2 linked regions of the Nothobranchius furzeri genome follow. Each later gene encodes a partner of the first gene's protein in a complex. Links are inferred from orthologs where the notes say so. Each region holds a gene or a part of one and is shown on either strand. Other genes may lie near its edges.

Region 1 (3,652 bases):
AGATGATGATCAGGGACATGCCGGGACACGTGGCTCCGCTGGCATCACTGTTTGACGCACGAGGTCACACGGACATTATTCGACTATTTAAACTTCCCCCCCTTCCATAAACTGTGACCTTAAAGTTAGGATTGGGGTCAGGGGAAGGTTAAGTAGTTCACAAGTAGTTCTAATGTCCGTCTTAGCACCAGCGTCGGATACCGACGCTCTGGGACGCTGCATCACCAGTTTGTCCCTGATCGTCGTCTCCTGACACGCTGGGGCGTCCCGAATCGTCATATATTGAGGCTTGGTCACACGTGCAATATTTTGATGCTTTGGCTGTGAGAATGTGTTGATTAAACTTGCACTTCCCCATGGCTCAAGCTCCCACTAGCTTAACCAGCTAATGTGCTCATCTAAAAATAGCCCCCTTTCACAACCAACTGAATGTGTACGGTTCCGCTTACGCCAATATCATACACAAAAAATGCTGAACACCAACTAGAAAATCCCCAAAATTTTATAGAATCTTGTTTATTGGGTCTTTGGTAATTTAAGACATTTGGAAACTGAATTTAAGGATTATTTGTCATTTTTAAGGATTTTTAGGGCCTTAAATTTGGAAAAGCAAATTTAAGACTTTTTAAGGACCCGCGGATACCCTGTATGGGTGAGTCCAAGCGCTGCTTGACGTAGATCTGTCAGGTTTCTCAAAGCCTAGAGTTTCACCGTCTATTTCCAATCATAAGCTAATCAACAACCTCTTCTTATTCAGCTGTTTCTACCAATTCTGATGATAAAGATTGCAGGAGTGATTGAAACTGTCAGCAAGGTAAAAAACTTCCTGTGATAAAAAAAAAAAACCTAAAAATGCATTCAGAAGAAAAACAGAACGAATATACAAAATATATAATCAGAAATATTCATAAAAAAGGCAGAGTGTGGAATCTGCACATATCTTATGCAGAAGGCTCTGCACATAAGAACCGTCCATCCATCAGAGCAGAATGCTGATTTTTCTCTTTTGCACACATTTATTACATTTTTACTGAGTGATCATCTTAGCTTTCAGTGGAACATTTGATATAATTCATGTTTTTAGATTAGGAATTTATTTTACATACAATTTTACAAAATTTCTGGTCAAAACTGTGAGGAAACATTTGAGAGCCGAAAGAGACGTTTTTTTTCTGGTGAACCTCAAGGACCAGCTCTCTTAAAAGAGCCGGAGATCCAACCACTATTAAAAACAGAAATCCTTCGTAAATTCTCTACCGTATTTTTACCTTGAACAATTGCAAGATGGTCTGCAAGTAGGTTCCACAAAATCCCAGAGTCTTGTTTTCTCCAATTCCTCCTCACACGCGCCGTTTGTCAAGTTGGTAAACTTCCTCCTAAACAACAACAATGCAAATTTCAGCCAGTGGAGAGAGAAAACTTTACCAGTAAACAGCAATTTACAGGAAATGGTGGCAGTAAACCCACTTGTTCCCAGTACGGTTGATGTTATACTCCTGCCACACTGATTCCACCATCTGACCAGCCAGCCTGCGGGGGATTTTACCCCCATGAAGAGTGTTGTTAGAGTTGTAGCAATCGGACGCAGAAGACAGCTTTAGCCAGCGGTGGGCAGGCTGATAGTCTGAGGAGAAAAACAAACAAACAAAAAAACAGATTAGTAAGCAAAATCTTCCAGAAGCAAAGGTTGACATAAGTGCGTTTGATTCTCACCAGTGTGAGCCTCTTCTGGTGATGTGGGCGGAGTCAAGGTGACAGAGGATATGGCGGGGTCTCTGTGAGTCGCCTGACCCTGCTGAGCGCCACACTGGGCCCCCGGGGTGTTGGCCGAGCCCTGGGAGACTACGGCGGGGAGGTCCGATAGGGGGAGAAGCACAAGGCAGGATGGGTAAACCATCCTCACCCCCGCTGAAAAAAGCACAAACACTGATTTTAAAAACCGAATGTGACCATATTTACAACAGTTATGTGAATATTTAGACTCAGGATCACTGGTACAGTAAATTAACTGGGTGTTTATTAGTGAGGAACTCAATTAGGATTTATGATTTTCCTCCAGTCTCAGGTTTGGCTGTAGTCGTGCAGAAAAGCCTCTTAAGCAGTTTCAACTAATATCCATCACTAAACACATCCTTTGAAAAGATCTGTACACTTTAAGTTCAGTTAAAACTTACCCGCTTGCATCCCCTTCACTCATCGCTGCTTTATCAAATAATTATGACGCCTTACCAACAAGGACTTCCACAGCCGCTAGGGAGTCATCCTCCCAGTCCGTATCCTCCAGCTTGTCTTCCTGGGACTCCTTGGGATTCAGACAAATGGGATAAAACTGCCTCCACTCCTCGATGAGTTTCTGAGTAGGGTGATCTGACATCTTAAACGTTTGGCCGGTGAGTGTCCCGTTCAAGCCGTATGGGCTCAGGATTACTGCAAGGCAACACAGTCACAATAAATTTGATATGGGCACAAAAAAACCTTCGCAGTGAATGAAAAATAGATATAATATGTAAAACTACCTTGCAGGGGGCTGGAGCTCTGCTGTGCAAGGCTTGGATGCTCTTCGCCGAGTCTCTGAAGTGGCTGATGTTGGGCGATTTCCACGCTCGTGCACACATTGCTGTCGCCATGAACGAAGAAGGTGAAAGAGCAAGACAGGTGCTCGCTGTAAACAAAGGAAAAAGAGGCATTTTAATGTTTTGAACAATTAGTCAGAAGACAAACTACATTTTCAAACACACAAAAGGCAAAAATGAATGCTTATGTCTGACTTACATGTCCAAGAAAAAAAAAAAAAACTATAAAAACACTGACATCAGCAACAAAATCTATGTAATTGATAGAGATGCTCCAATCCGATCGGGCCCAATCGTGTGATTTTAAAAGGATCGGAATTGGGTAGAAAAGATCGGATTTAGCCTTAAAAAAAACATGACTTTTTACAATTTGAAACTGTCAGCGTTGATTTTGTTTTTTTCCCCCAATAATTGTTGTTATTAAAACAATGATAAAGGTAGAGTTTTATTGATCCAAAGTGTCTAATGTGAATTTTTCCTATTGCTTTAGTAGATGTAGTTAACATTTCCTTTACAGAAGTTGAAAATGATCGCATCAAAAGAAAAATACACTAAATTGTGACAAAAATATTAGCAATGCAAACGTGCAGCTGTTAGCCAGCAGGCTAACGTGTCTCCTCAGGAGGGTGAAAGTCATCAGTTTGGTGGCATTGAGTGTAACAGACGTGTGCAAACTGGGCATTTAAGGTGGTGGAAAAGGTTGAGCTGTCACCTATGCCACCTTCAAAACAAACTACTTTTAAGATTTTTCCTTCAGTTGTCACTAAAACAAATCACCGATTTCCATTGACTCCTAGTTTGCCACCAATAGTCCCAGTTCACAGCGGCAACTTGGACAAAAACGCAGAGCCAACCGACAAAGATATGCTGATAAAAAAAGAGATATTGCAGATGGCGGCCTGTGGTAGCTACTGGTGTTGTGTCAGAAAAGGTTAGCCTGCCAGCCCTGTCACAGGACTGCTTATTGTTCAATACATCCATATTTTGAAGGTTTGAAAGACTTGAAATATGAGCTACGCAGTAACTTTTAAATAACATTTAAATTTATTTTTAATCAATGTTGTTCTTAAAGGGCTCGT
Region 2 (4,211 bases), on another chromosome or scaffold:
CTACAGTAGAGTTATAAATAAGCATCAGACAGTTTATTTTAGTTCAGCTTGCCTTTTCGATGTACACGGGCAAGCGATCGTTGAGGACGACCATCTCCTGTCGTTCACTGCTACGAGTCATCTTGAACTCCTGGTTCGCTGCTGCAGCCATGTCCAAGTCCAGGTTTGTCCCCTTCCTCATGGACACATCCAACCACAGCGTTCCTATACTCCCACTGCTGGTAAGAAAAGACAAGTAGATGTTTTTCTCTTTTTATACCCCAATGTTTGAAGTTTGCTTTGTCTAAATGAAACTTTTTAACACATTTCATGGAAATGCAGAGTTTAGTGTTTCAACATTTGCCATCTTTTTGTTGGAGCACTGCTTCACCCACCTAGTGAGACGAGACTTGGTGCTCAGAGTTCTGCACCCCATCGTCTTCCATCCCACACTTCGGCTGAAGCTGGAAGACCTGTGACGGCTAACCTTTCTGGTGGGAGATGGACTTGACGCCCGAAGCTGGCTTGCAGGAGACGGACCCTTGTGGCCTTCGAAATGACAGCGATAGGAAGACGTCCTCTCTGGACTTTGGCTCATCTTGATGGCGTTTTAACTGATTTAAGTTCTGCTGAGGAGTGAAGAACGCTCACTCAGTTGTTGTATGGTGGAGGATTTTCATACTCTTCTCACCTATTCCCTCACCACCACAGAGGAATGCTGGACCCTCCCATTCCAGAGGGCGAAGTCCCCACAAACATCTGTCGAGGTCATGATTAATGCAGCTTATAGACTGTAGAAAAAAATAATACACTCAGGGTAAATTACTCTGCTGACCTCTTAAAGGTTTAATTTGAGAATGTTTAGTCTTATGCAATCAAAACAAATATGAATCTAGTTATATTACTGCAGCTAAATTATACCACAAGCAATAACTGCTGTTGAAAAGGAATGGCTGATTAAACGCATATCCTACGTTAGAAAAAAACATATTTTGTACACAAATAATATTTTAAAGTTTTCAGCTTGTTTTTTAATCAATCAATCAATCAATCAATCAATCAAAGCTTTATTTATAAAGCGCCTTCCGCAACCCTGTCAGGAAGCCCAAGCGCTTTACATGTTTAGTGACACGTTCTGTTGTGTAATTATACATTTATACAATGTTTTCATGTTAGTATTGTTTTTATTATTGTTGTTGTTGACTTACACAATTATAAGCCATGTTTTCTTTTCTCTTTCTTTCTTTTCTTTTATTTTATTATTTTTTTAACAAATTATTTAATTCCACGTTTATAAATAAATAAATAAATAAATAAATAAATAAATAAATAAATAAAGGGAAACCAGCGCGACTGCAACCCCGGAACCATATTTCTAAGCTACCCGGTAGGTCTTTGGTGTTACACCAGCGTTTGCTAGCAAAACTACTTTTCTTTTGTATTCGCTGGTTTTGTAGGTTAAAACATTAAATACAATTATTTTTTCCGTCTTCAAACCGAAACGACATGGCGGGGAACTTTTGGCAGAGTTCACATTAGTAAGTTGCCATAATTATCAGACCTGTTACGTCCAAATGTTTTAATTCATCGCTTTTGTTGTGAGGCCTTGCTTGTTGCGACTGTTCGAGCTAACACTTTAGTTTATTCCCACCGTAAGTTTTAATTTATTGAATAGATGCAATAGACAGATAAATTAAAAGTACCAGTTTTTTACAAAGATGGAAGTTCCTTTTTAATTGTTTGACCATTCGTATCGTGCCTCTTTCTGTTGTGTTGTTCGCGTTTGGTTTATGTCTTATTTTTTATTTAGCCTTCAGTGGGTTCTGGATAAACAAGACCTAATGAAAGAGCGCCAGAAGGACCTGAAATTCCTCACAGAAGAGGAGTACTGGAAGCTGCAGATTTTCTTTGCAAATGGTAACTTTTAAAATCACCTGTAATAACGTGTTTACTTCAGAAGCTCGTTTATGTGTAGCTGTAGATACAGTTAGTGCATTTCCCTTGAACATATCACGTTTCTATGTTTTTTTTTTCCAGTGATCCAGGCTTTAGGTGAGCACCTGAAGCTGAGACAGCAGGTCATCGCCACAGCAACAGTCTACTTTAAACGCTTCTATGCCAGGTGAGAAGCTGTCTCAGGTAATGATGGAGATCAATGTTGATGCCATCACCAGCTCAGGCTCTTTAAAAACCTTAGTGTCTTTTTAACTCGCGGTGTTTTATTTTACTTACAGAATCAACTCGGATTGTCACGATATTAAAATTTCAAACTCGATTCGATACGGGGGGGGGACTCGATACTCGATTTCGATACTATTTAAAAACACCAATTTATTGAACAAGTTTATTCAAAAAATAACATTCCTCCATTTATATTGCAGAAATTAAATGTTAAGAATTAAGTGTGTAACGTGCTTAAACCTTTCAAGTATCAGCATTTTTTTTAAACGTGCATACAAAAACTGGCGAAAGTTAACACTTTAAATCATGAATTGTCTCACTATATATACACTATTTGCAGAGTGATGTTTTGCTGCTTAAACTCTGTTTAAGGTGCATTTTTGTCATAAGATGTAACGTCATATGTTTTGTTCTGTACTTTTGAACAACTCTGTTGGTCAATAAAGGGAGAAAACGAATTTCTCCACAGTAGGACAAAGGTACATCCACCGGTAATCTTAATAAAAACAGACTGGCGCACGGCAGTGACGTCATTAAAAGCGCTGGTTAGATTAGCCGCGGCTAGTCTGTTTACGCCTAGAAATCCCAGACCCGCTCCAAACGAACAGGGGAATCACGTTAATGATTCCTAACAAAACCTTTCGACATGAAGATGTTTTGGTGCAGATAATGTCTTATTTCGAGGCTGCACCATGGGTGCCCGTCCGCACCCGTTATATGGATATACACTGACGGCGATTCGGCGATGGATCTACGGTAAATACCCCGGGGAATCCAAGTAGCACCAAAGTTGTCGGCGTGAGTAAACAAACGTACTGCATGCTAGAAATTAAGTCCGGGTTGCAATAAACGGGAGTTTCCTTTAAGCACATAAGCGTGAATATACAACTACGTGGCGGACTTGGTATGCTAATTAAGTTGGGCTGTGAAGCGCCTCCCAAATTCACTGTTTATGTTTTTGTTTATTTATTTGGCAGACAAAACTTGGATCGGAGACAACTCGCGTGGGAAATTGCAATGTAGCCATGCGGCGCCTTCTTCTTCTGTTTGTCTGGGAGGCGGAGGCTGCTTTACGGCATCTGGCTGTCGTGCGTGTCGGTGTACTTGAAGAAGGCTGTGTATAATAGTCCATAATATCGATACCACAGGGATGGAATATCTCATTTAGATACCACTTTTAGCATCGTTTATATCTAGGTATCGATTTTTTTGACAACACTAGAATCAACACATAAACCTGAAATAATTCCAATCCTCCCACTTAAACATACAGGTTAATTCTTATCATTCAGCTTTGATTTACTCTTTAATCAACTTATAATGTCAAGTTTTTGTGCTGTTGCAAGCTATGAAAATGCAAACTAGAAAAGGGTGGTGTCGGTACAGGATCGGCTCGGGGTCCGTCGACTGCCGATGACGTCTAAGTAGTTGATTGGCTGAACATGAACCTTAAGCAATTACGTAATCACGTTACGTTGTTATCACGTTACGTTGGTCCAGGTAAATCTTTCTGTTGGAAAGATGGACAACTTTTACAAAGAAATCCATCATTACCTCTATGAAAATACACTTTTAGCATAGAGCTGCATGTATATTAGGGCTGAACGATTAACTGCATGTGCAATTAAATTGCGATGTGACAAAAGGAGATTTTCTAATCTCAAAGGCTGCAATTTGGCAGCGAGTGGTTAGCGCAATGCTAATATACATGGAAAAACCCATAGGAATGCTAATGCTAATATCACCGATTACATGCTTACAAATTATGAATTAGAAACGTGCCAAATGATTACATTTGGAGTCTAATAGAAAGTAAAACTACCATCAATCAAATAAGTACAGACAGGTATTTTAGTAAAGCCAGAAAACTTTTAACTCCAGAGTTTTGGCTAGCAGCTATGAGCGTAACTGAACTACGCATGGACAAGACGTCAAAAACTCTAAACACAAAATACTTCAATAAACGGGACACACTTCTTTCCTGCAAATACAATTTCACAGGTGTTGCTAATACCTATGATCCTTCAAGGGATGTGCTCAAAGAGGAGTTC

What was found. The genes of interacting proteins can lie anywhere in the genome.
Region 2: the proteins of mediator of RNA polymerase II transcription subunit 13-like (region 1) and ccnc are in contact, whole or in part, in a cryo-EM structure (PDB 8TQC), measured with the Homo sapiens proteins. The link is inferred for Nothobranchius furzeri from reciprocal best matches to the Homo sapiens genes MED13 and CCNC. Residues at the interface, in NP_005112.2 of Homo sapiens: Tyr1342, Ser1630, His1631, Val1732, Lys1733, Thr1734, Thr1736, Phe1738, Gly1739, Pro1740, Gly1741, Ala1743, Arg1897, Met1898, Ile1901, Asp1905; in NP_005181.2 of Homo sapiens: Gln7, Gln13, Trp14, Leu16, Gln19, Lys23, Gln26, Lys27, Arg75, Tyr76, Glu144, Leu145, Asp147, Cys148, Ser221.

The regions. Positions count from the first base shown.
Region 1 is NC_091753.1:50,238,146-50,241,797, forward strand, and holds part of mediator of RNA polymerase II transcription subunit 13-like, read right to left. Parts: intron 2,663-3,652; coding exon 2,517-2,662; intron 2,428-2,516; coding exon 2,230-2,427; intron 1,909-2,229; coding exon 1,714-1,908; intron 1,625-1,713; coding exon 1,468-1,624; intron 1,377-1,467; coding exon 1,269-1,376; intron 1-1,268. UniProt on the Homo sapiens protein: Component of the Mediator complex, a coactivator involved in the regulated transcription of nearly all RNA polymerase II-dependent genes.
Region 2 is NC_091742.1:26,778,149-26,782,359, forward strand, and holds the start of ccnc (cyclin-C), read left to right. Parts: upstream 1-1,368; 5' UTR 1,369-1,485; coding exon 1,486-1,517; intron 1,518-1,789; coding exon 1,790-1,896; intron 1,897-2,016; coding exon 2,017-2,101; intron 2,102-4,211. UniProt on the Homo sapiens protein: Component of the Mediator complex, a coactivator involved in regulated gene transcription of nearly all RNA polymerase II-dependent genes.